4 linked regions of the Pelodiscus sinensis genome follow. The protein of the gene in region 1 purifies or fractionates together with the protein of each later gene. This does not show direct contact. Links are inferred from orthologs where the notes say so. Each region holds a gene or a part of one and is shown in the gene's direction. Other genes may lie near its edges. The genes, in order: SLC39A4, AGPAT4, VPS45 and MGAT1.

Region 1 (8,010 bases):
AGGGGGCAACACGCCCAGCCCAGGAGAGAGAAAGAGCAGGGCCCGGGCAGCAGCAGGGAAGAACGAGGCTGGTGACTCCGTTTCAGCTGCAGCCCCTGGCTGAGAAGAGGAACAGCCCAGCTGCAGGGGGAACCTTCCCCTGGCTCTAGTGCCGGCTGAGTCACCCAAGCAGGATGTCAGCAGCCCCGGGGACATTTAGAATCACAGACCCATAGAATCCCAGGGGGGGCAGAGCCCTCAGGAGGCATCGAGTGTAGCCCCCTGCCCAAGGCAGGACCAGCCCAACACCATCAGCCCAGCCAGGGCTTGGTCAAGCCGGGACTTTAAACCCTAGGGATGGAGACTCCACCCGCTCCCCAGGGAACCCAGCCCAGCGCTTCACCACCCGCCTAGGGAAAGAGTTTGTCTTAATCTCCAACCTAGACCTTCCCCACTGCAACCTGAGCCCGTTGCTCCCCGTTCTGCCCCCACTGAGAACAGCCTCTCGCCAGCCTCTCTGGAACCCCCCTGCAGGCAGCTGCCGGCTGCTCTCAAATCCCCCCTCACTCTTCTCTGATGCAGACTGAACAAACCCAACTCCCTCAGCCTCTCCTCATAGGTCATGTGCTCCAGTCCCCTCAGTATTTTGGTTGCTTCCGCTGGACCCTCTCCAATGCGTCCACATCCTTCCTGTAGTGGGGGGCCCAGAACTGGACACAATACTCCAGATGTGGCCTCCCCAGAGCCGAATAAAGGGGAATAATGACATCTCTGGATCTGCTGGCAATGCTCCTCCTAATGCACCTAATACGCCATTAGCCTTCTTGGCTACAAGGGCCCCTGTTGACTCCTATTCAGCTTCTCATCCACTGGAACCCCCAGGTCCTTTTCTGCAAAATTTCTGCTCAGCCAGTCGGTCCCCAGCCTGTACCAATGTTTGGGATTCTTCCATCCCAAGGGCAGGACTCTGCACTTGTCCTTGTTGAACCTACTCAGATTTCTTGTGGCCCAATCCTCTAATCTGTCGAGGTCACTCTGGGCCCTTCCCTGCCCTCCAGTGTATCTACCTCTCCCCCCAGCTTAGTGTCATCTGCAAACTTGCTGAGGGTGCCACCCATCCCCTCAGCCAGGTCATTCATAAAGATATTGAACCAAACCGGCCCTAGAACCGAACCTTGGGGCTCCGCTAGAAACCGACCGCCAGCCTGGCATGGAGCCGTTGATCACCCTTTCCTTTGGAAAGACGCTTCCGCTGCCCCTCTCCTGGGTCCTTGGGCTTCGGTGTCCGGCCCTACTCAGGCTCCACAGCCTCTTTGACATCCCTCAGCCTTGCTCCTGAGGCTGGCAGACAGCGCAGCATGAGTGGCTGCAGGCTCCCAATCCCCTTCCCCAGCTCGCTGGCGCTGGGCAGACGGGCCCTGTGTAGGGAGCCAGCTACCACCTGGACAGTGTCGGAGCTCTGCCAGGGAGCGCCGGAGAAGCATCGGCATGGGCTGCAGAGAAGCAGCTTAGAGCCTAAAGGGGGCTGTGGATGGTGCTCTCATGGCAGGACCCAGCACTGTCTGATCATCCCGACAGGTGTCTGTCTGACCTGCTCTTAAATATCTCCAGGGATGGAGATTCCACAACCTCCTCAGGCAAGTTATCCCAGTGTTTCACCACCCTGACAGGCAGGAAGTTTTCCCTAGTGTCCAACCTAAACCTCCCTTGCTGGGTTTAAGCCCATTGCTTCTTGTTCTATCCTCAGAGGCCACGGAGAACAATTTTTCTTCCTCCTCCTTTTAGATACTTGAAAACCGCTCTCATGTCCCTTCTCAGTCTTCTCCTTTCCAAACTAAACAAGCCCAATTCTTTCAGCCTTCCCTCATAGCTCATGTTCTCTGGACCTTCCATCATTCTTGTTGCTCTTCTCTGAACCTTCTCCAGTTTTTCCACATCTTTCCTGAAATGTGGTGCCCACAACTGGACTAATACTCCCGCTGAGACGCAGAGCAGAGCGGAAGAATGACGTCTTGTGTCTTGCTCACAGCACTCCGGTGACTGCATCCCGGAATCAGGTTTGCTTTTTTTGCCACAGCATCACACTGTTGACTCATATTCAGCTTGTGGTCCACTCTAACCCCTAGATCCCTTTCTGCAGGACTCCTTCCTAGACAGTCACTTCCCGTTCTGTGTGTGTGACACAGATTGTTCCTTCCTAAGTGGAGCACTTTGCATTTGTCCTTATTAAACTTCATCCTGTTTCCCTCTGGCCATTTCTCCGGTTTGTCCAGACCATGTTGAATTCTGACCCTCTCCTCCAAAGCACCTGCCACCCCTCGCAGCTTGGGATCATCCGCAAACTTTCTCTGGGCCAATATTGGAATCGCAGATGAAGACAGTGAACAGAGCTGGCCCCAGAACTGCCCCTGTGGATGCTGGATGCTTGTGAGAAAGCTGCTTATGCAAAGACCGCATCCTGTGAGGAGGAAGTTGTGGGAGCAGGAAGTGTGCTGTTTTGGTTTTAAAAGGATTAATGGAGGTTGCCTATCTCCTAGAACTGGAGAGTGACCTTGAATGGTCATTGAGTGCAGTCCCCTGCCTTCACAGCAGGACCAAGTACCATCCCTGACAAATTTTTGTCCCAAATGGCCTCCTCAAGGATTGAACTCACAACCCTGGGTTTAGCAGGCCAATGTTCAAACCACTGAGCTATCCCTCCCCCATGCCCCTAGCATCTTGGCATGCCCAGGTTGTGCTGCGCCGTCTCAGTGCCGCGCAGGAGCGAAGAGCATGTCCTGGCTCTTGGGAGTGCCCGGGAGGGACTGGACGGGGAGGAGACGTCTCTGCAGCCCCGGGTTCAGAGCGGCGCCTGCCAGGCAGAACCCAGAGCAGTTTGCTGGCGAGGTGGCCAGACCGGTGTGGCGGGGGCTGGGGCACAGGTTAAGCACCAGCTAAGCTCTCTCTTGCGGACGCAGAGTGGGGAGCATCCCACTAGAGCTGGGCTGGTGGATTCGCTCCCCTCCAAAACCCACAGCCAGGCCCGGTGGCTCCGTTTGGGGCGTCACGCCTGGCTGCTCCTGCCCCCAGGCCTTTCCCTGATGGGCCCACAGGGCGGCGGCGGCTCGCTGGGCCAGTGGCGCACCAGGCCGTGGGCGTCCACTGTCACGTGGCCTCGGGAGCGGGCGTCTGGCCCCCGCCCCTGCAGCCGGGGTGGGCAGAACGTGGCTCAAGACGAAAGAAGACTGAGTCAGGCTATTCAGCTCAGGGCCAGGGGCCCAGAGGGAAGGAACGGTGCAGGGCTCTCGAGTGGCCATTCCGACAAAGCACTCGGCCCTCGCCACAGCCATGGCCGCTGGCGTGTCTGGCGGCCTCGGTCCCGCCCTGCGCGTGGCTGTCACCCCGCACCGCTCAAAGCACAAGTCTCCTGCTCTGGCCCCTGCCTCACTACAGGTGGCTGGTCGCTTTCATCAGCGCCTGCATAATTTCCTCCTTCCTCTGCATGCCGGTGCTCGGCTGAGTTGTGATGCTGGGCGTCTGGCACTTGTGCTCTGGACTCACGGCCAGTGTGAGGCGGTGCCCTGGTGCCTGGCACTCTCTGGACTCACGGCCAGTGTGGGGCGGTGCCCTCGTGCCCGGCGCTGCCCTATTCCTGGCACTTGTGCCCTGGACTCACGGCCAGTGTGGGGCGGTGCCTGGGTGCCCAGGTGGCCGGTGCTGCCCTGCGCCTGGTGCTCGTGCTCCGCAATCGTGGCAGGCAGGGTTACATGAGGCTTCGCTGGGACAGCTCCGGTGCTGGGCTTATGCCCATTGGCATGTGCAGGCGTCTGTAACAGCCGATGGCCAAGTCCCCGTTCCTCGCATCCTGGGCTGTAACAATTCTGGCTTTGGGACCTCCTGGCAAGATGCGTCCCCTCCTGCTGCTGGCCCAGCCCAGCCGCCGGAGCGTGTTTCACTTTGGGCCTCCAGGAGGGCTGTGGTGCCGCCCCGCTGTCTGCCAGGCCTGCCCCGTGTGGGCCAGGCAGAGCCACTCCTCCGCCCTCCAGCAGGCGACTCGGAGGGTGCAGCTGGACCCACGGGGTGGGGCACTTCTCCTGTCCCCGTGCTTAGTGCTACTCCCCAGGGCTTCCGTCCCGAGGCTCCCGCTGCGCACCACACGGCCGAGCTGTAACGTGCAATCGTCTTCCTGGGCCAGCAGCTCCCTACAACAGCCCGGAGCAGCCCGTGTGCGTCAGGCAGGGAGACGGGGTCTGTGCCTCCCCTGCGGCCCCAGGGATGCTCCCCGAGGCTCAGCAGCAATTCCCTGTCCTGCATCGTTGCCCTGGCTGTGTCTGCACAATGGCTGGTCCCACCCGCTGCCCTGCACCCAGGGCACTAGCCAGCAGCGCCGCTGAGTGCAGGGTGTGCTAGGCAAGTGGGACTCGGTTAAACCCAGGGCCTACTCAGTCCATATGGCTACCTGGCCCCTCCTTCCAGGGACCCTGGGCCTGCCGGCTAGTTCCACTGATGGGGATGCATGGGAGCGCCTCCCAGCGGGAGAGTCAAGAATCTGCTGTAGGGTCTAGTGGTTAGAGCTGCCAGGGTTCTGTCCCAGCTTGGGGAGGGGAGCCAGGCCTACAGGTTAGAGCCACAGGAAGGATGAGTCAGGGGTTCCTGGGCCTGGGAGGGTAGTGAGGCCTAGGGGTTAGAGCAGGGGGGCTCTGGCATCAGGGATCCGAGTTCCCAGCCCCAGCGCTGCGCTGATTCAGAGCATGACCCTGCATGAGTCACTTCCCCGGAGACGGGGCCAGGGCCCGTGGCGGGGGCAGAGCGAAGAGCCCCGGCAGAACGCCCCCAGCTGGTGTCAGACCCTCTCCCTCGCCAGGGAAACGGGGCCGGTGGCCCCTGCGTCTGCCCCAGGCCAGGTTTCCCTTCCCCTGGAGGGGCGGACGAGCCGTCCGGGCTCCGGAGCCGGGGCTGGGACCGTGTTGGGCAACAGCCTCCCAGCAGGTCCTGCCGGCTCATTTCCTCCTGGCGGGGGCTGCTGTGCTGACGGTGCTGGCAGAGCAGAGCCCTGCCACGCCCTGGCGGGACTGGGGCTGGGCCGGCTGCCTGGGAGCCACCTTGCCCTGCCCTATCGCAGCAGGATCTGCAGAGCTGGCCGGGTTCGGAGGAATGGTTAACCCGAGGCAATCTCACCCGGAGCCAATCAGAGGCGGCTGCAGCAAATACCTGCTGGCTTAGAGCTGCTGCTCCCCACAGCTCGGGCTCTCTGGCCCCGGGGAGCCTGGCCAGCGCGGCCACGTCTCCCCAAGCCGGCGCGGCCCGCCTGGACGCAGCCATGGCTCTGCTGCTGGCCCTGGCCCTGCTCTGCCTGGGGGGGGCCGTGCGCCCGGGCCAAGGGGCGCCTGCCGAGGAGCAGGCGCTGCGGGACGTCGGGGCCCTGCTGGCGTCGGGCGAAGGCGCTCTGCCCCACGCTGCCCTGGACTCCCTCTTAAGTATCGCGGCGGCCCGTGTGCAGTGCCCCGCAGTGCCGTGTGGAAAGGTAACGCGCCGCCGGGCGCAGCCCGCTCCCCTCCTTCCTCTGCGGCTCGGGAGCAAAGCGGGGTCAAACTCCAGCCGGGCGGGAGGGGCCGCGGCAGCAGGAGGGCCAGGCTGCCAGGCGGGAGGCGCGCCCCGTCCGGGGGAGTCTGGGGGGCTGGACGCAATGGGGGGAGGTGACGGGAGGGGGCTCCGGCCGGAGGAGTGTCCCCCCCGGGGCGGGGGCGGCCTGGCGTGGTCAGGCCTCGCCTAGCACGTGCGGGCAGGGCCAGCCCCTGTGGCGTGGGAGGTGTCAGGATCCAGGCCGGCTCCCGCTCCTCACCTTTGCCATCACTGAACCCCTGCAAACACGGGACGTCTCCAGCGGACCCGGCCCCTCGGCCCCGTGTCCCGGGCAGGTTCCTCTGTCTCCGAAAGGCTCCAGCCCTGGGCGCTGGCGTCGGCAGGAGCAGGCCGCTCGTGCCCCTCGTGGGCAGAATCAGCCCAGACGGGCCAGCGACCAGCACCGGGGCTGGGCAAGCGCCAAGGGGCTGTCAGAGCAGAGCTGGCCCTGGTTGTGCACTGGTTGTGTGTGTAGCATATGTATGTGTGCAGTGCAAGGAGCGGGGTGTGTGCGCGTGTGTATCATGCGTGTGTGAGCAGTGCGAGGAGCGGGGTGTGTGCGCGTGTGTATCATGCGTGTGTGAGCAGTGCGGGGAGCGGGGTGTGTGTGCGTGTGTATCATGCGTGTGTGAGCAGTGCAAGGAGCGGGGTGTGTGTGCGTGTGTATCATGCGTGTGTGAGCAGTGCGAGGAGCGGGGTGTGTGTGCGTGTGTATCATGCGTGTGTGAGCAGTGCGGGGAGCGGGGTGTGTGTGCGTGTGTATCATGCGTGTGTGAGCAGTGCAAGGAGCGGGGTGTGTGTGCGTGTGTATCATGCGTGTGTGAGCAGTGCGGAGAGTGGGGTGTGTGTGCGTGTGTATCATGCGTGTGTGAGCAGTGCGAGGAGCGGGGTGTGTGCGCGTGTGTATCATGCGTGTGTGAGCAGTGCGGGGAGCGGGGTGTGTGTGCGTGTGTATCATGCGTGTGTGAGCAGTGCGAGGAGCGGGGTGTGTGCGCGTGTGTATCATGCGTGTGTGAGCAGTGCGAGGAGCGGGGTGTGTGCGCGTGTGTATCATGCGTGTGTGAGCAGTGCGAGGAGCGGGGTGTGTGCGCGTGTATCATGCGTGTGTGAGCAGTGCAGGGAGCGGGGTGTGTGCGTGTGTATCATGCGTGTGTGAGCAGTGCGAGGAGCGGGGTGTGTACGTGTGTATCATGCGTGTGTGAGCAGTGCGAGGAGCGGGGTGTGTGCGCGTGTATCATGCGTGTGTGAGCAGTGCGAGGAGCGGGGTGTGTGCGCATGTGTATCATGCGTGTGTGAGCAGTGCGAGGAGCGGGGTGTGTGCGCGTGTATCATGCGTGTGTGAGCAGTGCAGGGAGCGGGGTGTGTGCGTGTGTATCATGCGTGTGTGAGCAGTGCGAGGAGCGGGGTGTGTACGTGTGTATCATGCGTGTGTGAGCAGTGCGAGGAGCGGGGTGTGTACGTGTGTATCATGCGTGTGTGAGCAGTGTGGGGAGCGGGGTGTATGTGCGTGTGTATCATGCGTGTGTGAGCAGTGCGGGGAGCGGGGTGTGTGTGCGTGTGTAGCATGCGTGTGTGAGCAGTGCGGGGAGCGGGGCGTGTGTGCATGTGTATCATGCGTGTGTGAGCAGTGCAGGGAGCGGGGTGTGTGTGCGTGTGTATCATGCGTGTGTGAGCAGTGTGGGGAGCGGGGTGTGTGTGCGTGTGTAGCATGCGTGTGTGAGCAGTGCGGGGAGCGGGGTGTGTGTGTGTGTGTGTAGCATGTGTGTGTGAGCAGTGTGGGGAGCGAGGGGTGTATGTGTGTGTGTAGTATGTGTGAAGGAAGTGTGGGGAGCCGTATGTGTATATGTAGCATGCAGGGAGCAGTGCGAGTGTGGGTGGGTGCCATGCGGGGAGCAGTGAGTATATGTTTGTGTGTGCGAGCAGTACAGGGAACAGTGTGTGTGTGTTAGTGGGGGGGAGCAGTGTGTGTGTGTGTGTGTGTGTGTGTGCGAGCAGTACGGGGAGCAGTGTATAAGTGTGTGTGAGCAGTGTGGGTAGCCGTGTGGGGGGGGGAGCAGTGTGTGTGTGTGAGCAGTGTGGGGAGCTGTGTGTGTGTGTGTGTGTGTGTGAGCAGTGTGTGTGTGTGTGAGCAGTGTGGGGAGCTGTGTGTGTGTGTGTGTGTGTGTGTGAGCAGTGTGGGGAGCTGTGTGTGTGTGTGTGTGTGTGTGTGAGCAGTGTGGGGAGCCGTGGGGGGGGAGCAGTGTGTGCGTGCGTGTGTTGTGTAGAGTATGTGCGTATTGTGTGGGGTGGGTGTGTTACCCAGGCTTTGCACCGCGCCTGGCACAGTCGGTACCTCCAGCCTTGCTCGCCGGATAAGCACTGCCGACGAGGATACAGGCCAACGGCTCCCCTAGGGCAGGGCTCCCCTGGGACCGGTGGGGTGAGCAGCAG
Region 2 (7,143 bases), on another chromosome or scaffold:
GGCTTTTGCACAAGAAGGAAGCAGTATAGATGTATGGTAGCGGGTCAGCTAGTGCTGTTCCTCCTCCACAGTGATGTGGATCCAGTCTAGCACTCATTCCTGAATCAAACCAGCTGGAATGTAGTTAGGGGTCCCCACCAATTGGATTTGCACATTCCTATATTGCCTACCCCTCAATCTGACTCTGTCTGTACTCGGCTCAGCACCTTTGGCCGACTGTATCAAAGGTGGAAAAGTGTTCCTTTTGCTTTCCTTGTGTGGTGCTGCTGTGATTAGAAAGCAGGCTGCCAGCCTCCTTCAGCAGGTGGCTGTGAATAAAAGAAAGGCCAAGAAAGTCAAGCTGCTGAAAAATGGGACCGACCAATATAATGGGGCTCAGTCTGCAGCCTGGGCCCTGTCTTTGGCAAAACTGTGGAAACCCCAGGAGCCCCCGTCAGCAGAATCAACACACTTTAAACTCCCCAAACTCCCATCACTTTCCCTCTTCCTGACAAAGCACTGCCATGGGGGGCTTACCTGCCAGTGTGCATGCTACAGTCAGAGCGCCTCCTTCATTCCTTAGGGGTCCCAAAAGAAATCAGCATCCCGCTAATGCTCCCTCTTTTGTCATAGCAGGGTCACAGTGGCTATTTTTGAGCTAGAATCACATTCCCCAGGCTGCCTTTTTAAAATGACTCTGGGCACTTTCACCTCAGCAGCTATCTTACAGTCCTCCCAAAGGAAGAAAAAAAAACCAGGACACATGATAAATGCAGGCATACAGGTTATTTCTTATCTCCTTTGCTCTCCTCTTGTCTGGATGTCAGGTGAGGCAGGGAAAAGGACTAAAAATGTAGCGCTAGATCTGCAAGCAGGTGTAGGAAAAACAACTCATCCGATGACCTGTTTTCTCCATCACCACCACCTCTTTCTCCTCTCCATATGAGGTGACCAGACACAAGGGAATACATAAGGGTAGCCAACATAGGCACGAGTGTTTTGCCTTGGACTCTCATGGCTTCAAATTGTCAGCCTTCTGTCCATCTAGTCTTCCTTTGTGGAGTTAGTGTCACTAATGCAGACATAAAGCTAAGAAATCCTTTATGTCTAGACCAGGATGGACAATAATTTTTTACCGGGAGCCATTTCAGAAATTTTTGAAATGGCCCTGGGTCACACCCGAAGGGGCAGGGCCAGGACACTTGCCTGCTTCCCCACCCACAGACCATGATTGGTCTGGTGGTGGGGGAGTGAGTGAAGTCTCCGCCTCCGAGGTTTCCCCTAGGCGCCCGTGCCTCTGGCAATGGGAGGAGACTTTTCGTGCTCCCCCTTCTGCACCCATGAAAATCAGGGCTTGGATGGGAGGGGTGCACATGAAATCTCCTCCCGCCCTGCCAGGAGCACATGGTGCTTTTAAGTGCCACATGCTCCTTGCAGGACAGGGGCAGGGCAGAGGAAACTCCATGTGCTTCCCCCTGCCCCCTGGCCTTGACTGCCCTGGGGGCAGGGAAGCAGCAGTGCCTCCGTGGGCAGGATCGACCTGCAGAGGCCCTTTTGCCCACCCCTGGTCTAGACACTTCTCCTTAGAACAGGGGAGTATTCTTTCAAAATCCAAAGTAGAGGAAACCCAAGATGTTCACCAAGAATTCTTGTTCTCGGAACTGTTTTCCCACGTATATTTTGAGAAGAACAGTTCCTTTCTTGCTATCTCCCTAAGCATTCAGTCAAAAAGAATGCAGTGTGAATGAAGGGGAAGTCAAATGGACAGGCAACACATGAGAATAGTTTCCAAAAGTCTGTAAAAATCACCTCTATGTTCCCATCCCAGCTGTCCTGCTTAAGGCTGCAAAGGTGAAATGAGAAAATCCAATGAAGGCCAAGCATCCGATCAAATGAGCCAAAAAATTCAGTAACATCCATCAGTCACACTGCTTTTCCTCAAATGGATGCAGCCTCATCAGCCCATGTTAAGGACACTGTCCTTGCTGTCAAAAGATATCTTTGACAAAAGGGTGGAATCAGCCCTCTGCAGGATCTACGGAAATGCCTCAGAGCTTCGGTATTTGCTGCTGCTGCTTCTTTTTCTTTTTTCTTTTTTCTTTTTTTTTTGCCACAGCAGCACTTGCTTATGCTGCATCTCTGCTCTCTGACATCCCCCCAAAAAGTGAAAAGAGCCAAGAGTTGGAGTCTTCTTATGGATAATGTCTAATACATCACAAGATTAGTGGACTCAAAGGTTCCAGGCCCTCCGCGGCAGGATCTATTAGATGGAAAATTTCTAGTCATATAAAACCAAGTGGAAAGTGTCTCCAACCCAGATTAAAGGCCAGTCCATGAAGTCACTGGCAGTCTTCATGGGCTAACAGATCCAATAGTCCATGTGAACAAATTTGCAGGGCTGCAGCTTGGCCATCTCTGCATATGTTCCCTAAATTGTGTAAGAATGATAAACCTCAGTAAGATGAAGGAGGGTTCTGCATGATGTAGCTCACTTGTAGTCCACCCAACAATTAGTTACTGGAAGTAAGGGTGGGTACTGGTACAAAAATCCTATTGCTACTGAATTTATAGACCCATCCTCCACCGTAAGAATGAGTAAATGATCTCCTCTGAATATTTATGTTCTGGTAGGAGGATGGGTCCATAAATTCATCCCATCTTGTGCTTTTCATTTTCTTCTATTGGGAGGTTGATTTTCGATAGTAATGCGGGATTTTTTTTCTTTAGGGAGAGTTGATGGGAAAATGTTCGTATACTTAATCTACTGAAGGCAGGTTACTACTTGTTGCTCTTGGGCAGTGCTGTTATTTTTAATGCAAGGTTTTATTCATATATGACAGTTAATGGAATCAATTCTCCAGCATGGCTCTTCAGTGGGAGGTGTTGTTTGGAGAGTCAGCCCTAGACAATCAAAAATGTTTGTCTCTACTTCCTGCGGTATGGGAGACTGAAAAATCCATCCATAGGGAGTTTAGAGACTTATTCTCCTACCTGAAAGATAATTTTCAGGTGAGTGAGGTAAATTTTCTAGCTGTGATCCTGTAATTAAAGACTGTATTATGTGTTTTACAGTTTGAGCTCATGGTGTTTGGAACTCTGCAGTGATGGTTAATCGTGCTTTGCTTTTGCATGTTACCATTTTGCTGTGCTCTTGGTATTTCTCATTGTGTTCATTCATAAAATCTGCTTTCCACTCAACAGTCAAAGACTCTCAGTAAATGTTTTGGTTCCACAGATGGTGAATATTGTGTGTCAGAATATTCAGTATTTGGAAACCTGCCATCTGAATATTTTTGTTATCCCCAGATTAGTTTAGTCTCCCCCATTTTTTAACTAATAGGCATTCTGGGGGTTTCCTCCCCGATATCTCTGTTGGACATCATGTGTGTCCTATAAGATGTTTATATTGATCATATGGCCATTTGGTCAGTCTGTCTCAGATTCACTCATTATAAAACATTAGCTCCTTTAGGGTTCTTCATGGCACCAAACATTTATGCCACCAGAATTCTTATTGGATTAAGCGCTCAATTCCTATGTTCTAGCTCTAACACAAAGCCTCTAATCAGCATGTGAGGATGCAACAAGTACAGTATGACTAGAAGCAATTGTTCTCTTTAAAAAAATGCCCAGTGTGCTAAAAAAGTAAAATGGTATCAGATCAGCTATGCTTATACTTAAAATATCATATTAAAAAAAGTCTTAGCCACCTGTATATTTGTTTTTCTGCCTCAATTGTTGCAACTCCTGTGCTCCTTAGTAACTTGAAGGAAAAGATGCTGTTATTGCTTTGCATAATGCACATTGATCATATTCCTTTTCAATTAATAATGATCTAATTTAGCCAAGGTATTTAGGGCATGACACTAAAACCACTGCTAGCACAGGAAGAAAGATGAAGCTTTCTCTGTAAATGGAAGCAACAGGATCAAGAGAGCTAGAATAAAAATGATATACAATAGGCTATTGTTTGCATTTCAGCGGGAGGTTTCTGTGACAGTATTTTCAAACGTAAACCACTTCCTTCTACTACTTGGTGGGGAAGGGGGTGAGTCATAGATAGTACACCAGTAAGTAGCCATCTCGTCCATACTGCTGAATTGTAGCTTTAAAAGGAAGTGACATGTGGTAGGGAGAAACGTCAGCTCAGAGCCACTTTTTTTTAAGGTACCACCCCAGGGTGGAGTCTGGCTTTCTTTCCAGTGTTGGCTGACTTACAGGCAGCTTATGCAAACTAGTGGCAACTAGAGTCTCTCTTTCCCTTTCTGTCTCTGATTTCTAAGCACATATGTCAAGGTCTGGCAGGCACAAGGTATGTGATATGATATTATTCATGCTACCTCCAAAGAACTTTACATTTTCAGAAGTATTCTTCTTTACTTGGCTTGATTTAAAAAAAAAAAAGACATTGAGTGCAGAGAATCAAAGGACAGAAAGAAGCAGGCTACAATGAGGTGTGTGTTTATGTGAGCAGCGTGTGGTAGAGGCGAGCATCAGGTTTGCAGGCTTATAGGAAAGGACTGCTCTGATTATTTTTCCTTTTTCTTCATTTGTGTAGTACCTTAGTTTTAGGAGGGGCGGGGTTAGTACATTTAATCATTTTACTTGGAAAAGAATGGGGTCAACGAGAATTTTCCTGTTGCATGTTGGCTTCCTTTGTGTCATGCAACATGCTTTTTCTTTTCTTCACAGTGTTTCCATGGAAACTACAAATACCATGGACTGTGTCCTAAATATAAATATCTCTCTTTCTTTCACAGTTGTGCATTTGTTGCATGATTTGGAGTGATAGTTACTAGGATGCAGCACACATTTGTTTCCTCTCCACTTTCATTTTGGTTTTCCCCTATCACAATAGAGGAGGTTAGAGGAGGGGGGAGGGTAGGGGAGGGATAGAGTTGCCTTGGAAACAGACATTTGTGACCATCTATTTACTGTGCTTTCATGAAGATGCTTTCTACATCAAGAGGGCTGTATCGTGTCTAAATAATTAGTGGTTTGAATGAAACATAGGTATGTATTGAAATAAATGCATTGTATTCATTTCACATTGTACTTAGAAGAATTCCATAACCTCTACAACCTGAGAGCAACGTGAAGAAGAGACTGTGTGCTTAGTACTGAATTTTTGTTTTAAAGTTTTGGTTGGCTTTTTTGTTTGTTTGAAAGCTCTGGTTTTCTTTCTAAATGAATATGTTCAACCTGTCAACAATAATATAAGTAGATCCACTTAGCCTGCACAACTTTGCATTTGTTAGTCCAAATCTTTAAACTATAGAGCATTGTTCAGCTGTGAAATGATCCAAAAGAGGATTTGATTCAACAAGTAAGCGTTTACCCATGTGTGTACAAAACAGTAAATGAGGATTTGTTTCATTCTGACCAGAACATTCTCTTCTGTGCATTTGTTTTTGTCTCATCCCATATTTATTTGTCTTGCATTTCCAAGACCTGTACATGCTTAATAAGATGATATTTGCACCTCTGATAACTGTGGTACAACTAATGCGGCAGTTATATCAAGGGAATATAATCAGTCACCCCAAAATGAACACGAGTTGCAAAATAAATAAACAAATATTTTTTTTAAATGTATTGAACAGACCAAGACCCCAAATCTCTTTTCTTTGATACCAGAGAAAGCCCATTGACTTTCATGTGCTTAGTCCATTGTAAATGAGAGGAAAACTTGGGTTTGGGTTCATATGAGTTCTCTGTGTATTCCTGACTTTGAAATGAAAAGTGTTTTACTAAGGTTCAAAATCATGCTATGTTTTTTTCTAATTTCTTTAAAATTTAGTGTAAGTGTACACTTACATTGTTATTACAATTTCAAAAATGCAATTAAATATACACAAAAAGTGAAACTTACGGGTTTAGTGCTCTGCAAAAAGTGGCACACAATCTTTAGTAACCCTCTATGTATGGGAACAGGTTGGAATTTGACCACTGGGTCATAGGGGATATCACATTGTAAAATAGTCAGTTATCTGGCCAGAGAAAAAAATACTGCATTTGCCTGGTGGGTGGCATTGCTTTTGTGAATATACAGCTTAGCTAAAATTATTATCCAGCTTTTTAATAAAAACTAGTAGCTGGTAATTTTATGTGTTTTATTTTTTAAAGCCAAAAATGCTGAGAACCTAAAAATGTCAGGGTAACAGACTGTGAATCCAATTCATCCTGCTAATATTCTGAATAAAAATAGGGTAAAGAACTTGTAAGCTGTGCATTTAATGGTTTGCATACCTTCACACTGGGTCCACAGATAAGCTAGGCTTCATGTTTGGGTTATTCTGGTTTGTGTTGAGAGACTTGTGGGCTATGTCTACACTGGCGGGTTATTGCGCAACTTTGGCCATTCTTGCGCAAGAATCTGCAGAGCGTCTACACTGCCTGCCTGCTCTTGTGCAAGAAAATGTACAGTATGGTGTGCTAAGAGAGAACGCAATGCGCACGAGTTACGCTGTTTTCTAACAGGTGTAAGCTCTCTTGCGCAGGCACTCTTGCACAAGAGGGCAGTGTGGATGTGCAGCGGAGCCGTGTGCCACGTGCAGCCCTTGGAGCTGCCAAAGGGAGCGATGGCTGCTGCTGAACAACAGCCAGGTCCCTCAGGCCCCACCCAGGAGCCACCCCAGAGCACCCAGCAGGCCCACAGGGGAACCAAGCGGCGGGCTCCATGCTGGGGCAACGCCGAGGTCCAGGAGGAGGCCCTCCATAATCCCAAATCCAGGAGGAGAAACACAGACATATTTGCCTGCATGGCCCAGGCATTAGCCGCACAAGGACACCCGGCCCAGACCCTGGAACAGGTCCAGGCCAAGGTGAAAGACCTGCGGCTCAGCTACGTGCAGGCCAGCGAGAGTGGGGGCGGCAGAGCCACTTGCTTGCTCCCACTACCACCACCTGCACAGTATCCTGGCCTACAAGGGGGCCGAGACCCTGGAGGCCATGGTGGACTCAGCCCTGGCCACCCCAGTGGTCCGGCCAACAGATGCAGAGGAGGAGGAGGAAGAGGAGGAGGACAGCAGCCAGAGCCCACCAGCCCGGCACAGCAGCCACCATGTGTCACGGGTCTCCTCGGAGATTGGCGAGGGATCATCTGGTGAGTGTCACAGCTGCCACTCACAAGTGTGCAGGGGGCAGGGGAGCCATGGGGTGGGG
Region 3 (7,401 bases), on another chromosome or scaffold:
TACAACCCACACTCTACTTATCTCCTAGGGAGCGATGGCAACCACCCCACCCCCCACAACTGCCCCACTTACCCCAGGAATTTGAGGAGGGCCTCACATCCCTCCATTTACTCCCTGAATTTGGGAGGCCCTGACAGCTCTCCCATTCACCAGGAATTTGGGGGGCCAGAGTGAAATCCCCAGTCACCATGCACCCCACAAAACTGGGGGCTTCCCACAGCTTCCCCCAATCCTCCTGGAATTTGGGGGCTCCCCATACACCCACCTCCGAGATTTTGGGGATTCCTCACAGCTCCCCATGTACCCCAGAGACTTGGGGGCTCCCCACACGCACCCTAGGGATTTGGGGGCTTCCCATGTACCCCAGAGACTTGGGGGCTCCCCACACGCACCACAGAGACTTGGGGGCTTCCCATGTACCCCAGGGACTTGGGGGCTCCCCACACGCACCACAGAGACTTGGGGGCTTCCCATGTACCCCAGGGACTTGGGGGCTCCCCACACGCACCACAGAGACTTGGGGGCTCCCCACACGCACCCTAGGGATTTGGGGGCTCCCCATGTACCCCAAGGACTTGGGGGCTCCACACACGCACCACAGAGACTTGGGGGCTCCCCATGTACCCCAGGGACTTGGGGGCTCCCCACACGCACCCTAAGGATTTGGGGGCTCCCCACACGCACCCTAAGGATTTGGGGGCTCCCCACACGCACCCTAAGGATTTGGGGGCCACAGTGAAACTCCCCATATTCACCCCCAGCCACAGTCCCGCCCCCCGCCCCCCGCGCCCCGCGCCCACCCGGCCCAGCTGCCGGCTCGCGGTCTCCAACGGCCGCTCCGCGCGCGAGACGCCGGTTCCAACGGCCCGGACTGGAGCTGCTGGGGGGGGGGCGGGCGAGGCGGCCGGAGGAAGCGAGAGTTCGGGGGGGGGGGGAGCGGGTTGGAGTTTAGCAAGAGGGGCAGGAACAGCCTGAGATTTGGCACGGGGGGGGGGGGGGCAGGAGCAGGAGGGGTATTGGCACGGGGGGCAGGAGCAGGAGGGGTATTGGCACAGGGGGGCAGGAGCAGGAGGGTTACTGGCACAGGGGGCAGGAGCAGGAGGGGTATTGGCACAGGGGGCAGGAGCAGGAGGGTTACTGGCACAGGGGGCAGGAGCAGGAGGGGTATTGGCACAGGGGGCAGGAGCAGGAGGGTTACTGGCACAGGGGGCAGGAGCAGGAGGGTTACTGGCACGGGGGGCAGCAGCAGGAGGGGTATTGGCACAGGGGGCAGGAGCAGGAGGGGTATTGGCACAGGGGGCAGGAGCAGTAGGGTTACGGGCACGGGGGGCAGGAGCAGGAGGGTTACTGGCACAGGGGGCAGCAGCAGGAGGGGTATTGGCACGGGGGGGCAGGAGCAGGAGGGGTATTGGCACAGGGGGCAGCAGCAGGAGGGGTATTGGCACGGGGGGCAGGAGCAGGAGGGGTATTGGCACAGGGGGCAGCAGCAGGAGGGGTATTGGCACGGGGGGCAGGAGCAGGAGGGGTATTGGCATAGGGGGCAGGAGCAGGAGGGGTATTGGCACGGGGGGGCAGGAGCAGTAGGGTTACTGGCACAGGGGGCAGGAGGGGTATTGGCACGGGGGGGCAGGAGGGGTATTGGCACGGGGGGGCAGGAGCAGGAGGGGTATTGGCACGGGGGGGCAGGAGCAGTAGGGTTACTGGCACAGGGGGCAGCAGCAGGAGGGGTATTGGCACGGGGGGGCAGGAGGAGTGCAGGTATTGGCATGACAGGCATGAGCAGCCTGAGGTGGCTTGGCTGTGAGGGGGCAGAGAAGATATTGGGGGGGGGATTGGCAGAGGACTGGTATCGGGTGGCAGGAGCCACGGGATATTGGCACAGGGACAGGTGGAACTTGGAAAGGGGGGGTGCAGACGGGGCCTTGGCACCGAGGTGGAAGGGGCGTGGTATTGGGGGGCAGGCAGGAGCAGCGTGGGGGGGGGGGATCGGCATTGGGGCAAGGCAGGTGTGGCCTGTGGGGCAGAAGCAACATTTGGTGGAGGGATTGGCACTGGAGGGGAGGATAGGAACAGCTGGCAGGGACAGCAATGGGTGGCAGGATTAGGTACTAAGGGGAGGATAAGAACACATGGCAAGATTGGCACTGGGGGCACAGGCGCAGCTTGGAGAGGGCGTGACACTGGGAACACAGGAGCAAGCATGAGGATACTGGGGGGTCACATGAGCAACTGGTGGCCTGGAAAGAGCTATGGGAGAAAATACACCGAGGGCAGGAGCAGGGAAGGCAGCACCCTTACTGAGAGGTGGCTCAATTGGGTTGCTGAATAGGGCAGGGCAAAAAACAAAAACAGACAAACAAAAATCCACCTTACTGACATGGCGCCCAGCTGAGGAGAAAGACCCTCCCCACATTCCCCTTGCCCACCAGAGCTGAGGGGGGCCCAGCCTAGTAGATTCTGGGTGCACCAGCCCTGTGGGGCAGCAGGGGGGCTGGAGCACCAGTGCAGGCTCCCCAATGCTGGGGGGGGGAGGGCGGATCTGGGCAAGCCAGGGGCCGCATCTGGCCCCAGGGCTTGAGGTTTCCCACCGCTGCTTTAAGGCAATAACCAGAGTTTCCTACACAAAGCCAAACAAAATATTCAGCAGAGGAACAATTGTGCTGAAGTTCTAAGCTGTGCAGGAGATGCTGCAGTCACCATCAAGAAAACCAAATAGCTCAGCCATGTCACCTTCAGACTGACACAGCCATTGCAAATGGGCACTTTTAATTCCAGTACTTCACAGGGAATTTTTTCTGTGGCAAAATATGACTGATTGACACCCTCCCCTCCATCTTTCCCATGTGTGTGTGTGGGGGGGCATAAATTGAGTATACAGTGGGGGGGGGCTTGTGGAGGAGAAGTCTTTTGTCTCTAAGATCTTGTGGTTTCTTTAGCAGAGGAAATTGCCCATTTATTCTTGGCAGAAATTCACCCAGTTATTGTCAGCATGTTGCAGTTGACTGCTGCCTTCCATCTGAGAGATGATGGAACACTATTCCATACAGCCAACTGCTACCCTCAGTTATTCTCCCAAGAGCCCGTTTTGAGCTTTCCAGCCAAAATTTGGCTTATAGAACTTGATCCTGCAAATCCTTCCTCTCTCTTTCCAGTGTGAGTCACTAGAAGTTCAAGGTTGTTCCTCCACAGCAGTCAAAGCTCTTTAATTAACCTGTTTTGACCCGAAAAACACCTCGTCAATATTCAGGACTTTGGCAGGTTGTTTCTGTTAAGAAGAGAACTACGAGTCAAATATTTCTTTGGTGTCATCCTGTTTATTTACAAAAAACGGACACAACACCCTGTTTCTCTAAACACAATAAAAACAAACAATAGCAGGCAGTTTCCTTTCTCGGAAATGCTGGTCTGCTTTTCCCTCAAGTACTGTGTCCAAAAGAACCCTCTGTCTCTTGGCTTTGTCTCAGGGCCATGCTGACCACAGCCTCTCTTGCTTTTTGCCTTTCACACATGCACACAGCCGCAACCCTAGTCTGTGTTTGCATCTTTTCCAAGGAAATGCATAGAGTGTAGCTTCTGATCTTCCCTCCTATGCAGCCCATTATCAATGGGATCTGGCTTCCTACCATTTCCAGTAATCATTACCCAAAAGGGCATTTAATTGTTCTTCCATTTGACCTGAAATAAGGGTGTCTAGCCAATCCATCAGCTTTACTTAAGCCTGCAACTGTGCATAAAGCACACAACAGCCAGCATAGCATGTGTCTTTCTCCCCTCAAGGTATTAGGCATGCCACGCTGTTTTCTTGCAGCTCGAGCATCAAAAACTGTGCGGGATCTCAAGTCTCAAACTAGAGCAGTTTAGGGCAAAACTAAACAAACTTAAGGCTTGTGGGAGAATTGTCAATTGGGATTCGGTGCAATTGTTTTTCTTGTTGCAACGTTTAGAACAGCCTCTGCGGTGTCGGTTTGGAAGGTTTTCTTTGCAACCAAAGACCTAGGAACATTTTCTAAAAATAAAGTTTAGATTCTGAAGATTCAAGGCAAAAGGGGACAAAAACTACCATAATGAAGCCAGCTGTCAAGCGGTGATAGGATCATTGAAAGAGATTTTCTGCAGTCCAGGGAATCATGCAACAAAATGCTTCACTGCAAAAGGTGCTCATTTAAACGCTACTCCAAAGTTACCCCGCCAATGTGGTGCCCCCCCCCTCCCACAAGAGAAAACTTGACAGCTCCATAGCGTGAAGTGCATTGAAACACGCCCCCCTCCAGCTGCAAGGGGGAAAAAACTCATTGATGCTGTGGATGCTGGGACTTGTAGTTGCAACGCCTTCCCACGAAACGGGATGGGCGCTGCTTGGCGCGACAGTCCACCTCCTTGTGAACTACAACTCCCAGGGCTGCAACAGGAGGAAACAGAGAGGCAGGAAGCCGCGAGCTGCCCAGGAGAAAGGAGGGCTGGGTTGCTCAGTGCAGCCTAGCATAATATTACCCCTTGCAGACGGGTCGGTGGGGAGCGCAATCTCTTGCCACAATGAATGTGGTCTTTGCAGTGAAGCAATATGTGTCCAAGATGATTGAAGACAGTGGGCCCGGGATGAAGGTCCTCTTGATGGATAAAGAAACGGTGAGCTAGGCCCCTAAGGATTCTGTATTTACCATGGTGTTTGGTCCTGCCTCTCAAGACCCCTTCCAGATTCTATGGAATCGCCTCTGCCTCTGTATTTTGGTCTTTCCTGAGCTATTGGGGTAACAGTGGCTTCCACCCTGACCACAGGCTGCAGTCTTTATTTTGTGCTGGTAGAAAAGTAATAGAGTTGTAGCTGTTTTAGGAAGATTAATATTTCTGTGCTATTCCTAGTGCTCGCTCTGCCCAGGGAGCAAGAGAAATGATCATGGCTTCCTAACAGTGTTCCAATTTTTTTCATCTGTATGGGGAATAAATTTTATGTGCACTGAGGCATGTGTGGATGTGCACCACTAATAGAAACATGTGCTGCTGGCTGTGGGTGCTCTGCTAATCAGCTGGGAGGCAACTGAATCTCTCCTGGGTGGCTGTCCAAGCACTCAGCTTAAACGGAACACTGCTTCCTAGATCTCCCTCTTTTCCTCATCTTGGCTCTAATAATTTGCAACCTTGGTGTCCCTTCCTAAGCAGTTTGCTCTTGGGGAAGTATCCTGCCAGTGCTGGGCTAGAGAGCAGGCTGCAAGCAGTTCTGTGTTGCCTCCTTAATGGGACATGGAGCAGTTGGAGAATGTGGTGAGGAGGATTGTGTGTGATGGCTGTTCTCAAATGCCAATCAATCTGCCACACCCACTCCATGAATGCAGGTGAAGTCATGCTTTGAAGTGTTAGCCCACTGCACTGAGGGCTGCTGCCCATCTACCTAAATGCATAAAACTGCAATGACCTGTTTAGGGAATTGAGGCACAAAAGGTGAAATGATTTATCCGGGGTCACACAGCAACCCAGTGGCAAAGCCAAGAGGAACTGAACCTAGGAATCATGAATCCCAGTTCTGTGTACTAACCATTAGTCAACACTCCCTTGTCTCACGAGTCTGCCCCAGCAAGTAGAGATAACTTGTCTTCTCTTTCTTTCTCCCTGCAGACCAGCATTGTGAGCATGGTGTATACGCAGTCGGAAATCCTTCAGAAGGAAGTTTACCTCTTTGAGCGGATTGATTCTTTGAACAGAGAGACCATGAAACACTTGAAAGCAATCTGTTTTTTGCGACCAACAAAGGTGAGCTACTTCTTAAAGGCAGCTGCTGTCAGCATTGGCATTTGCTCTGCCCTGAGCCTATGTACTAACAGAGCAGCTAATGCTGATATCTCAGGCTATGATCCTGCAAATACTTTTCCCCACATTTGGCATTATGCTTCTGATGAGCAGTCCTAACGAATTCACTGGGACGACTAATGTGTATAAAATTAAGCACAAGTTTATGTTTTTCAGGATCAATGCCTTAGTTTGATAGCTGTACAAACTTTACCTTATCCACTCACCTGGAGTGAATAACAAACACATACAAAGACACCCCTCAAACACTTCCCTTGTCTCCCCAAGGGATGTGAAAGGTTTACTAGTTTCGGTTAACTGATAATTGGTGGGGGCTAGAACAGTTCCCCACCTACAATGGGCAGGGAGCTGCTTCAGCCCTGCAGTGGGCCTGCTGTGGATATGGCTGTTCTGGCAGCTGGAGCCTGGGTGCCCCACAGGCAGATGCCAGTCTGCTGTCCAGAGCAGCCTCTGTCCATGGGCAGCCTGGGTACCCTGCAGGGTTGGAACAGCCTCTGTCCATGGGCAGCCTGGGTACCCTGCAGGGTTGGAACAGCCTCTGTCCATGGGGAGCCTGGGTACCCTGCAGGGTTGGAACAGCCTCTGTCCATGGGGAGCCTTGGTACCCTGCAGGGTTGGAACAGCCGCTGACTGTGGGGAGCCCAGGTCCACTGCAGATAGGGGCTGCTCCAGTGGGGTTGGGAGCTGAGAGCCTGTAGCAGCCCCAGTGTGGGTCTGAGAGCTGGCAGCCAGCCCCAGCAGCCCTGTGAGCTGGGGGCTGCATCAGCTGGCCTGGAGTTGTCCCCAGCCCAGATCCTGCTTAGTCAGTTAACTGGTTAATCACTTAAACATTTCCTAACATTTAACTTTTTACATCCCTACTCTCCTCCTTCTGACATGGCCCCATTATAAAGTGTGACCAGTGGATTTTGTACCTGGGCTGTCGTATTCCCTGTAAGCAGTGGGCTTGTGAAGCCGCTCAGGAAAGATTCAAATGTTGCTCAGCTGATTAGTAGAGCCCCCACAGCTAGGCTTTTTGTTTGTTTCTACTAGCAGGGCACATTTGTACATATTTTAGTGAACATAAAAAATTTATTCCTCACGTGGATGGAAAAATCCACACATGGATGAAAAAGATTATAGGGAACATTGCTGGGCTGGTAAATTTCCAGGTAGTTTTGCAAAAGGTGACAATGTTTTCATCCATGAAATGATTTAGTTACTGAAAGCTATCAACAATTCCCTGTAACTTTTTAGGGAACATGCTCAGCCTTTTGTCGAAGCTGAAAGAAGAAAAAACAGTTCCAGTTGGTTTTGGAGTACTATTGCTAACTACAAATCCACAAACAACATGAGCCAGGTTCCAAAAACTCATGATATTTAAAAAAATAATACATTTTAAGCCTGTTATTTTCTATCTAGTTTTAGAACCTTTAAGATTCATGTTTCCAAGTTATTCTCTGTAACCCCAAGGTGCTAGAACAGCGTGTGAAGCCTTTTCCCACCTTGCCAGGGGCATGGGTGCCTAGTGGGAAGGGGGGGCAAAGGGGCTGGAGAAGCCCAGAAGCATTCTAGCCCCTCCCCTTCCAGATTAGGCCCTGTCCCTTCCGGCCTAGCCCC
Region 4 (7,550 bases), on another chromosome or scaffold:
GATTTTGATGTAAAAATGCAGTTGTTAAAGGCAGAGGAGACTGGCTTTTTAATTCAAGTCTTTTGTTCAAGCCCCGGATAACAGTGTCAAATTTGTAGATGAATACCAATTGCGTACTCTCGGTAATTGGCGAGTGAAATTCCTTTGTAGAAGAATGGCTACTTGTAAATCCACGATTGAAAGACCAGGCAGGCAAAAATCTTCCCCTATAGGTTTACGTGTGTTACCATTTCTAATGTCTGATTTGTGTGCGTTGCTTGAGGTTGGCAAAATGGCACATTCCCAACCTAGAGAGGAAGACACTCTGTCCCTTCCACTTTCTCTTGTCTCTGCTTCTCTGAAGAGTTAGAAACTCCAGTTATTGGACCATGCATCATCCATTTGTCTGGGACTCAGCCCCGTGGTGCCTCTCCTGACATTGGGTCTGAACCTCTTTAGCTACAAGGCTGCTTGGAAGTTCATGGAAAGAAGTCTGTTGCTTTCGGCGGGCAGCAGATTGGCCCTCAAAATGCATGTGATGATGGCTAAGGTTTTTGGGAAAGGGATGGATGATTTTGGATGCCAAGAATGAGACACCCCTTCTCCCCTGAAAGGCGCTTGATTTTCAGCAGGCCAGTGGTTAGGGCTTCCTCAAAAAATGGAATGTTTGAAAATCGCAAGCCGTGCGCCCCAAAATTACCAGATGGCCCTCAAAATCATGCATCTGTGGAGCCAGGCCAGGCAGGGAGCTGTCTTAGCAACCCCACGGCTCATCTGATCCCAGCACCCAGCATTCCACCGCCCAGTGCTGGGTCTCCTTGTGGAAGGGGGATCAGGTGAGCTGTGGGGTTTCTAAGGCAGCTCCCACCAGACGCATGATTTTGAAAACCCCTGGGCTAGGTGGCCCCTGGAGGAATCCAGCCCGCGGACCGGCATGGTCTTGTGGGTTGTCTTTGCGTCGTGCTCCACCCCAGCATGCGTAATGCTTCCTGAGCCAGGATCCCTCTTGACACCCTTCGAGTCGCTTCTCCAGCTGGCACAGGAAAAAAATGAATGCTCGCGGCCCGGCCCCGCGGAAAACTCGTGGGTCAGGGTTGTGCACGGCGAGCGTCTTTAATAAGACCCCGAGTCCTCTGTGGACGCATCCCTCAGCCGCGAGCGGGAGCCGAGGTGCTAACAGCGCCCGGTGCGCTGCCTCCCGGCACCTAATGAAGAACCCGGAGGCGACGGCACCCCCCAGTTGGGTCCTGACTTGGGGAGTGGGCAGGGGTGCGGCACTAAGTGGCAGCGCCGTGGCTTCCTCTGTTGCAGGCAGGGATTGGGTCTCTCCGCATGGAGCTGATGTGGGGCCAATGGAGATGAAGCTGCGGAGAGCCGTGGGCTCAGTTGCTGTGGGCCGAGAGGAGAAGGAGGGAGGTGAGATGCATAGCCCAGAAATAACCCGTCGGGGCCGAAGTCCTGCCCTCTGCCCGACGGATCCTTGGTTCGTTATACCCACACCTCCCTGCCCAACTTCACTGGCTAGCTAGTCCTGCAACCCACCCTGGAGTGAAGAAAGGAACTCAGGAGTCCGTGTGTGTGTGTGGGGGGGGGGGGGGGGGAAGGCTGAGCTCTAACTTCTAGGCATCGCTGCCGTGCACTAACGCCAGCGCCCTCAGCCCTGACTCACGCTGAGAACGGTCCCAGCTCGACTCGCCCCCATGGGAAGGGGCCACCCCTGCTCCATGGGCCGTATGGCTCGGGCTGGGGCCACCACGCCAGCGATGGTGCTGAGGGACAGGAGAAGAGCCCTGGAGTGGGGCGGGGGGCGGGAGATGGGGTACAGTGGGGGACCGTGGCCGTACTAAGAGGCTGGGGTCACTCCACCCCAGATGACTCTCCCTCACCCTAGATGGGGAAAAAAACCAATTTGCTACGGAGGGATCCCTGGGGGCACCGCAAGCCTCACCAGCTGAGTCCCTGCCCCTTGGGGAGGCTTCAGTGAGTCCCAGCCTCTCCCCGCTTCCAACTCCGACATCCATAAGGGCCCTGACTGCTCTCTCTCCCCTCCCTCCCCCTGCCCACAGCCCTATGCCATCAGGGACAGCTAGGGTGAACCGCACAAGAAAGAGCTTCCTGCATTCCCAGGGATGTGGGGCCGGCTTTCTCAGCGGTGCTACAGAGCTGGGGCAGCCCAAAGTGGTACTGTTCTCCTGTGCCCAGACCCCGGGGCTGGGGTAGGTCGGGGAGCAGGCACTGGGGCTGGGGATCCTAGCTCCTTCCATCCACTGTGCCTCTATCCGGCACCCTGGTCTCTCTCTGCCACTCGCTGTTTTCTCGTCCCTCTTTCTTTCCCTCCGGGTCTTCCTGTCCATCTACCGCTCTCCCTCTCCATCCTGCGACCCATCCCTGGCCTCTTCGAGCCATCCCGTATTGCTCTTTATCCATCCATCTCTCTGCCTTGACAATTCGCTTCTCTCTCTCTTTCGTTCTCATCCATCCCCTCCTCTCTCCAGCCCTCCTTGCTCTGTCCACCTCCGGCATCCATCGGCCTGCCCACAATCTTTTTCCATCCCGCCCCCTCTACCCATCTCTCTCCTCCCCATCCCTGAGATGTCTGATGTTCCTTCCCCGGTGGTCTCTGGCAGCGTTCCCCATAAGCTGGGCACTTGGGAGGCCCACTCCAGAGAGATTCCGCCCCACTGATTGGCAGAGCGCCCACAGCTCGGTTTGTGTTCCTGCTTGGGGTGCACATTGGCACATGCCTCGGTGCACATAAAAACGTATTCTGCACATGGCTGGAAAAGATTAGAGGCAACGTCGGTCTCTGGGCATCTAGGAGATCCTGCCATCTGAGCCAGGCTCAGCATTACTCCCATCCCTACCAACGCAGCCTGCCTCCAGGTACTTCATTGGGTCCACGTTAAAAAAATTGAACACATATGAAAAGGACAAATGATTTGTCCTTTTCATATGTGTTCAATTTTTTAAAAATTGTATCCTTTGGTATCTATGGTTGTGACTATTTTCTTCCACTATTTGATCTGAGGAAGTGGGTCTGGCCCACGAAAGCTCATCATCTAATAAACCATCTTGTTAGTCTTTAAAGTGCTACATAGTCCTGTCTTTTGTTTCGAAATTATGTGTTATTTTGAAATTTGGTGCTGTGTAGATGTGCCAAATTTCAAACTAGAATCGAATTAAGATATGCAATTTGCGTATCTTATTTCGAGTTGCGGATGCTGTGTAGACGCACCTTGAGGTGCTACAGAAGCACTCATTTTTTCACTGATATGACACACCACTTAAATGCACTCAATCTTAAACCTTAAGGCAAAGAAAAAAACCTGCCTTCTCTGATGTGCGATGTTTCTGAATTTGAAACAAAACTGGCCCTTTTTGCAGATCAGTTTCGTGAGAAAGACTTAACTCACTTTCCCATCTTCAACTTGCAAGTGACACAGCTGAGTGAATATGCATCTTTTTGGCCTGATTTTTTTACAGTGTACATCTCAGGGCTGAAAACCAAATTTTCTTCTCATTATCTAGATCCCTGAAGACGGTTCTTGAAGTTACTGAAAATCCATTTTCAGTTGAGGTAAAGGCGCACTCACTTTCAGCAGTGAGCTTTGGTGTCGAGAGGGCCACATTTGAAGAAGAGGTGATAGAACGGCAAATCAATAGTATTCTAAAAGCTAGGTATAAAGAAGAAGGACACTGAAACATTTTGGATGACCTATGTATAGGAAGACACGTACCCGGCATTATTGAAATGTGCCAAAAAAGTGCTAACTTGCTTTGGGTCTACATATGTCTGTGAAAGTTCATTCTCTTCCATGGGAATCATCAAGTCAAAACTGAGCACCTCTCTTACTGACAGACAACGGTCACACAATAATTATTTAGCGAGTTCCCAGGGGCTGAGATTTTTAAAAATTAAAATTTCATAAATATTAAAGCACATAATCAACATCAGGAGTCAAAATATACAACTATAGAAATAGCCTCATGCTGAATTCAAATGCATTTTCAAGCAGCATTTTTCTTAGTTTCCCTATCTGAAAATTTTGATTTTTACAGCTGGGAATATTTGTGTGGGGCTGTGAGCCTATAGTGAAATTGATATTGATACAAAGTCTTAAGAGGGATCGCCATATATATGCTAGCCTGTAAGGGTATGTCTACACTGCACCTGTGTGTTAAGCCCCCCCGCCTCCCCGCCCCCAAACCGGCCCGCGGGCCACAAACCCACGGCCCGCGGGCCGCATGTGGCCCGCGTGATGCCTCATCCGGTGGGCGGGCGGGATTAGTCCATTTAAGACTGTCCCCATTCCACCCGAATGGTTTGCTCCGCGGGGGAGCCGGGCCTCGAGCCCTGGGGAGGAGGGGGGAGGAGTTCCGAGTGTGGGCGTGGCTAGAATTCTCAACGGGCGGCGGCGGGAGGAGGAGGAGGAGGAGGAGGACCCCCCCCCTCCGCCCCGCCCTGGGGGCGTGGCGCGGGGAAGGTTCGAAAAGGGGGCGTGGCTCCCGGCCCTAAGGGGGGGAAGGGACACGCAAGGGGGCGTGGCCAGTGCCGGACGTGGGGGGGGGCGGGGAGGGAGCGACGCGGGGCGGGCTGAGCGGTTGCCATGGGTTCGCTTCCGGCGCTGGCAGGCGGAAGTGGCTGGAAAACCTGGGGGCTGATGCTGCTGTGGCTGAGGCGGCTTCTGGGTCAGTGGGGAAAGCGGGGGGAGGGGCAGGAGCCGCCTCGCGACCCCTCCCCCCCATATCTCCAGGCGGGGGGGGAGGGGGAAGGAGCTGCCCCCCCATATCTCCAGGCGGGGGGGGAGGGGGAAGGAGCTGCCCCCCCATATCTCCAGGCGGGAGGGGAGGGGGAAGGAGCTGCCCCCCCATATCTCCAGGCGGGGAGGGGAGGGGGAAGGAGCTGCCCCCCCATATCTCCAGGCGGGGGGGGAGGGGGAAGGAGCTGCCCCCCCATATCTCCAGGCGGGAGGGGAGGGGGAAGGAGCTGCCCCCCCATATCTCCAGGCGGGGAGGGGAGGGGGAAGGAGCTGCCCCCCCATATCTCCAGGCGGGGGGGGAGGGGGAAGGAGCTGCCCCCCCATATCTCCAGGCGGGAGGGGAGGGGGAAGGAGCTGCCCCCCCATATCTCCAGGCGGGGAGGGGAGGGGGAAGGAGCTGCCCCCCCATATCTCCAGGCGGGGAGGGGAGGGGGAAGGAGCTGCCCCCCCATATCTCCAGGCGGGGAGGGGAGGGGGAAGGAGCTGCCCCCCCATATCTCCAGGCGGGGGGGGAGGGGGAAGGAGCTGCCCCCCCATATCTCCAGGCGGGAGGGGAGGGGGAAGGAGCTGCCCCCCCATATCTCCAGGCGGGAGGGGAGGGGGAAGGAGCTGCCCCCCCATATCTCCAGGCGGGAGGGGAGGGGGAAGGAGCTGCCCCCCCATATCTCCAGGCGGGAGGGGAGGGGGAAGGAGCTGCCCCCCCATATCTCCAGGCGGGGGGGAGGGGGAAGGAGCTGCCCCCCCATATCTCCAGGCGGGGGGGGAGAGGGAAGGAGCTGCCCCCCCATATCTCCAGGCGGGGGGGGGAGGGGGAAGGAGCTGCCCCCCCATATCTCCAGGCGGGGGGGGAGGGGGAAGGAGCTGCCCCCCATATCTCCAGGCGGGGGGGGAGGGGGAAGGAGCTGCCCCCCCATATCTCCAGGCGGGAGGGGAGGGGGAAGGAGCTGCCCCCCCATATCTCCAGGCGGGGGGGGAGGGGGAAGGAGCTGCCCCCCCATATCTCCAGGCGGGGGGGGAGGGGGAAGGAGCTGCCCCCCCATATCTCCAGGCGGGGGGGGAGGGGGAAGGAGCTGCCCCCCATATCTCCAGGCGGGGGGGAGAGGGGGAAGGAGCTACCCCCCCATATCTCCAGGCAGGAGGGGAGGGGGAAGGAGCTGCCCCCCCATATCTCCAGGCGGGGGGGGGGAGGGGGAAGGAGCTGCCCCCCCATATCTCCAGGCGGGGGGGAGGGGGAAGGAGCTACCCCCCCATATCTCCAGGCGGGGGGGAGGGGGAAGGAGCTGCCCCCCCATATCTCCAGGCGGGGGGGGAGAGGGAAGGAGCTGCCCCCCCATATCTCCAGGCGGGGGGGGAGGGGGAAGGAGCTGCCCCCCCATATCTCCAGGCGGGGGGGAGGGGGAAGGAGCTGCCCCCCCATATCTCCGGGGGGGGGAGGGGGAAGGAGCTGCCCCCCCATATCTCCAGGCGGGGGGGAGGGGGAAGGAACTGCCCCCCATACCTCCAGGCGGGGGGGGAGGGGGAAGGAGCTGCCCCCCCATATCTCCAGGCGGGGAGGGGAGGGGGAAGGAGCTGCCCCCCCATATCTCCAGGCGGGGAGGGGAGGGGGAAGGAGCTGCCCCCCCATATCTCCAGGCGGGGAGGGGAGGGGGAAGGAGCTGCCCCCCCATATCTCCAGGCGGGAGGGGAGGGGGAAGGAGCTGCCCCCCCATATCTCCAGGCGGGGGGGGGAGGGGGAAGGAGCTGCCCCCCCATATCTCCAGGCGGGGGGGGAGGGGGAAGGAGCTGCCCCCCCATATCTCCAGGCGGGAGGGGAGGGGGAAGGAGCTGCCCCCCCATATCTCCAGGCGGGGGGGGAGGGGGAAGGAGCTGCCCCCCCATATCTCCAGGCGGGGGGGGAGGGGGAAGGAGCTGCCCCCCCATATCTCCAGGCGGGGGGGGAGGGGAAAGGAGCTGCCCCCCCATATCTCCAGGCGGGGGGAGGAGGAAGGAGCTGCCCCCCATATCTCCAGGCGGGGGGGGAGGGGGAAGGAGCTGCCCCCCCCATATCTCCAGGCGGGGGGGGGGAGGGGGAAGGAGCTGCCCCCCCATATCTCCAGGCGGGGGGAGGGAGAAGGAGCTGCCCCCCCATATCTCCAGGCGGGGGGGAGGGAGGGAAGGAGCTGCCCCCCTTATCTCCAGGTGGGGAAGGAGCTGCCCCCCCATCTCCAGGCGGGGGGGAGGGGGAAGGAGCTGCCCCCCTTATCTCCAGGTGGGGAAGGAGCTGCCCCCCCATCTCCAGGCGGGGGGGAGGGGGAAGGAGCTGCCCCCCTTATCTCCAGGTGGGGAAGGAGCTGCCCCCCCATATCTCCAGGTGGGGGGGGAGGGAGGGAAGGAGCTGCCCCCCTTATCTCCAGGTGGGGAAGGAGCTGCCCCCCCATCTCCAGGCGGGGGGGAGGGGGAAGGAGCTGCCCCCCCATCTCCAGGCGGGGGGGAGGGGGAAGGAGCTGCCCCCCTTATCTCCAGGTGGGGAAGGAGCTGCCCCCCCATCTCCAGGCGGGGGGGAGGGGGAAGGAGCTGCCCCCCTTATCTCCAGGTGGGGAAGGAGCTGCCCCCCCATATCTCCAGGTGGGGGGGGAGGGAGGGAAGGAGCTGCCCCCCTTATCTCCAGGTGGGGAAGGAGCTGCCCCCCCATCTCCAGGCGGGGGGGAGGGGGAAGGAGCTGCCCCCCCATCTCCAGGCGGGGGGGAGGGGGAAGGAGCTGCCCCCCTTATCTCCAGGTGGGGAAGGAGCTGCCCCCCCATCTCCAGGCGGGGGGGGGGGGGGAAGGAGCTG

Evidence for each region.
Region 2: the proteins of SLC39A4 (region 1) and AGPAT4 purify together in Homo sapiens (affinity purification with mass spectrometry; 3 studies listed by BioGRID and IntAct, with this or other methods). This does not show direct contact. The link is inferred for Pelodiscus sinensis from reciprocal best matches to the Homo sapiens genes SLC39A4 and AGPAT4.
Region 3: the proteins of SLC39A4 (region 1) and VPS45 purify together in Homo sapiens (affinity purification with mass spectrometry; 3 studies listed by BioGRID and IntAct, counting the BioPlex papers as one, with this or other methods). This does not show direct contact. The link is inferred for Pelodiscus sinensis from reciprocal best matches to the Homo sapiens genes SLC39A4 and VPS45.
Region 4: the proteins of SLC39A4 (region 1) and MGAT1 purify together in Homo sapiens (affinity purification with mass spectrometry; 3 studies listed by BioGRID and IntAct, with this or other methods). This does not show direct contact. The link is inferred for Pelodiscus sinensis from reciprocal best matches to the Homo sapiens genes SLC39A4 and MGAT1.

Annotation. Positions count from the first base shown.
Region 1 is NC_134712.1:897,246-905,255, reverse strand, and holds the start of SLC39A4 (zinc transporter ZIP4), read left to right. Parts: upstream 1-4,999; 5' UTR 5,000-5,278; coding exon 5,279-5,482; intron 5,483-8,010. UniProt on the Homo sapiens protein: Selective transporter that mediates the uptake of Zn(2+). Plays an essential role for dietary zinc uptake from small intestine. The Zn(2+) uniporter activity is regulated by zinc availability.
Region 2 is NC_134713.1:114,253,330-114,260,472, reverse strand, and holds the start of AGPAT4 (1-acyl-sn-glycerol-3-phosphate acyltransferase delta), read left to right. Parts: upstream 1-4,135; 5' UTR 4,136-4,291; intron 4,292-7,143. UniProt on the Homo sapiens protein: Converts 1-acyl-sn-glycerol-3-phosphate (lysophosphatidic acid or LPA) into 1,2-diacyl-sn-glycerol-3-phosphate (phosphatidic acid or PA) by incorporating an acyl moiety at the sn-2 position of the glycerol backbone.
Region 3 is NC_134734.1:20,470,134-20,477,534, forward strand, and holds the start of VPS45 (vacuolar protein sorting-associated protein 45), read left to right. Parts: upstream 1-4,398; 5' UTR 4,399-4,533; coding exon 4,534-4,626; intron 4,627-5,610; coding exon 5,611-5,745; intron 5,746-7,401. UniProt on the Homo sapiens protein: May play a role in vesicle-mediated protein trafficking from the Golgi stack through the trans-Golgi network.
Region 4 is NC_134742.1:11,051,773-11,059,322, reverse strand, and holds the start of MGAT1 (alpha-1,3-mannosyl-glycoprotein 2-beta-N-acetylglucosaminyltransferase), read left to right. Parts: upstream 1-4,536; 5' UTR 4,537-4,668; intron 4,669-7,550. UniProt on the Homo sapiens protein: Initiates complex N-linked carbohydrate formation. Essential for the conversion of high-mannose to hybrid and complex N-glycans.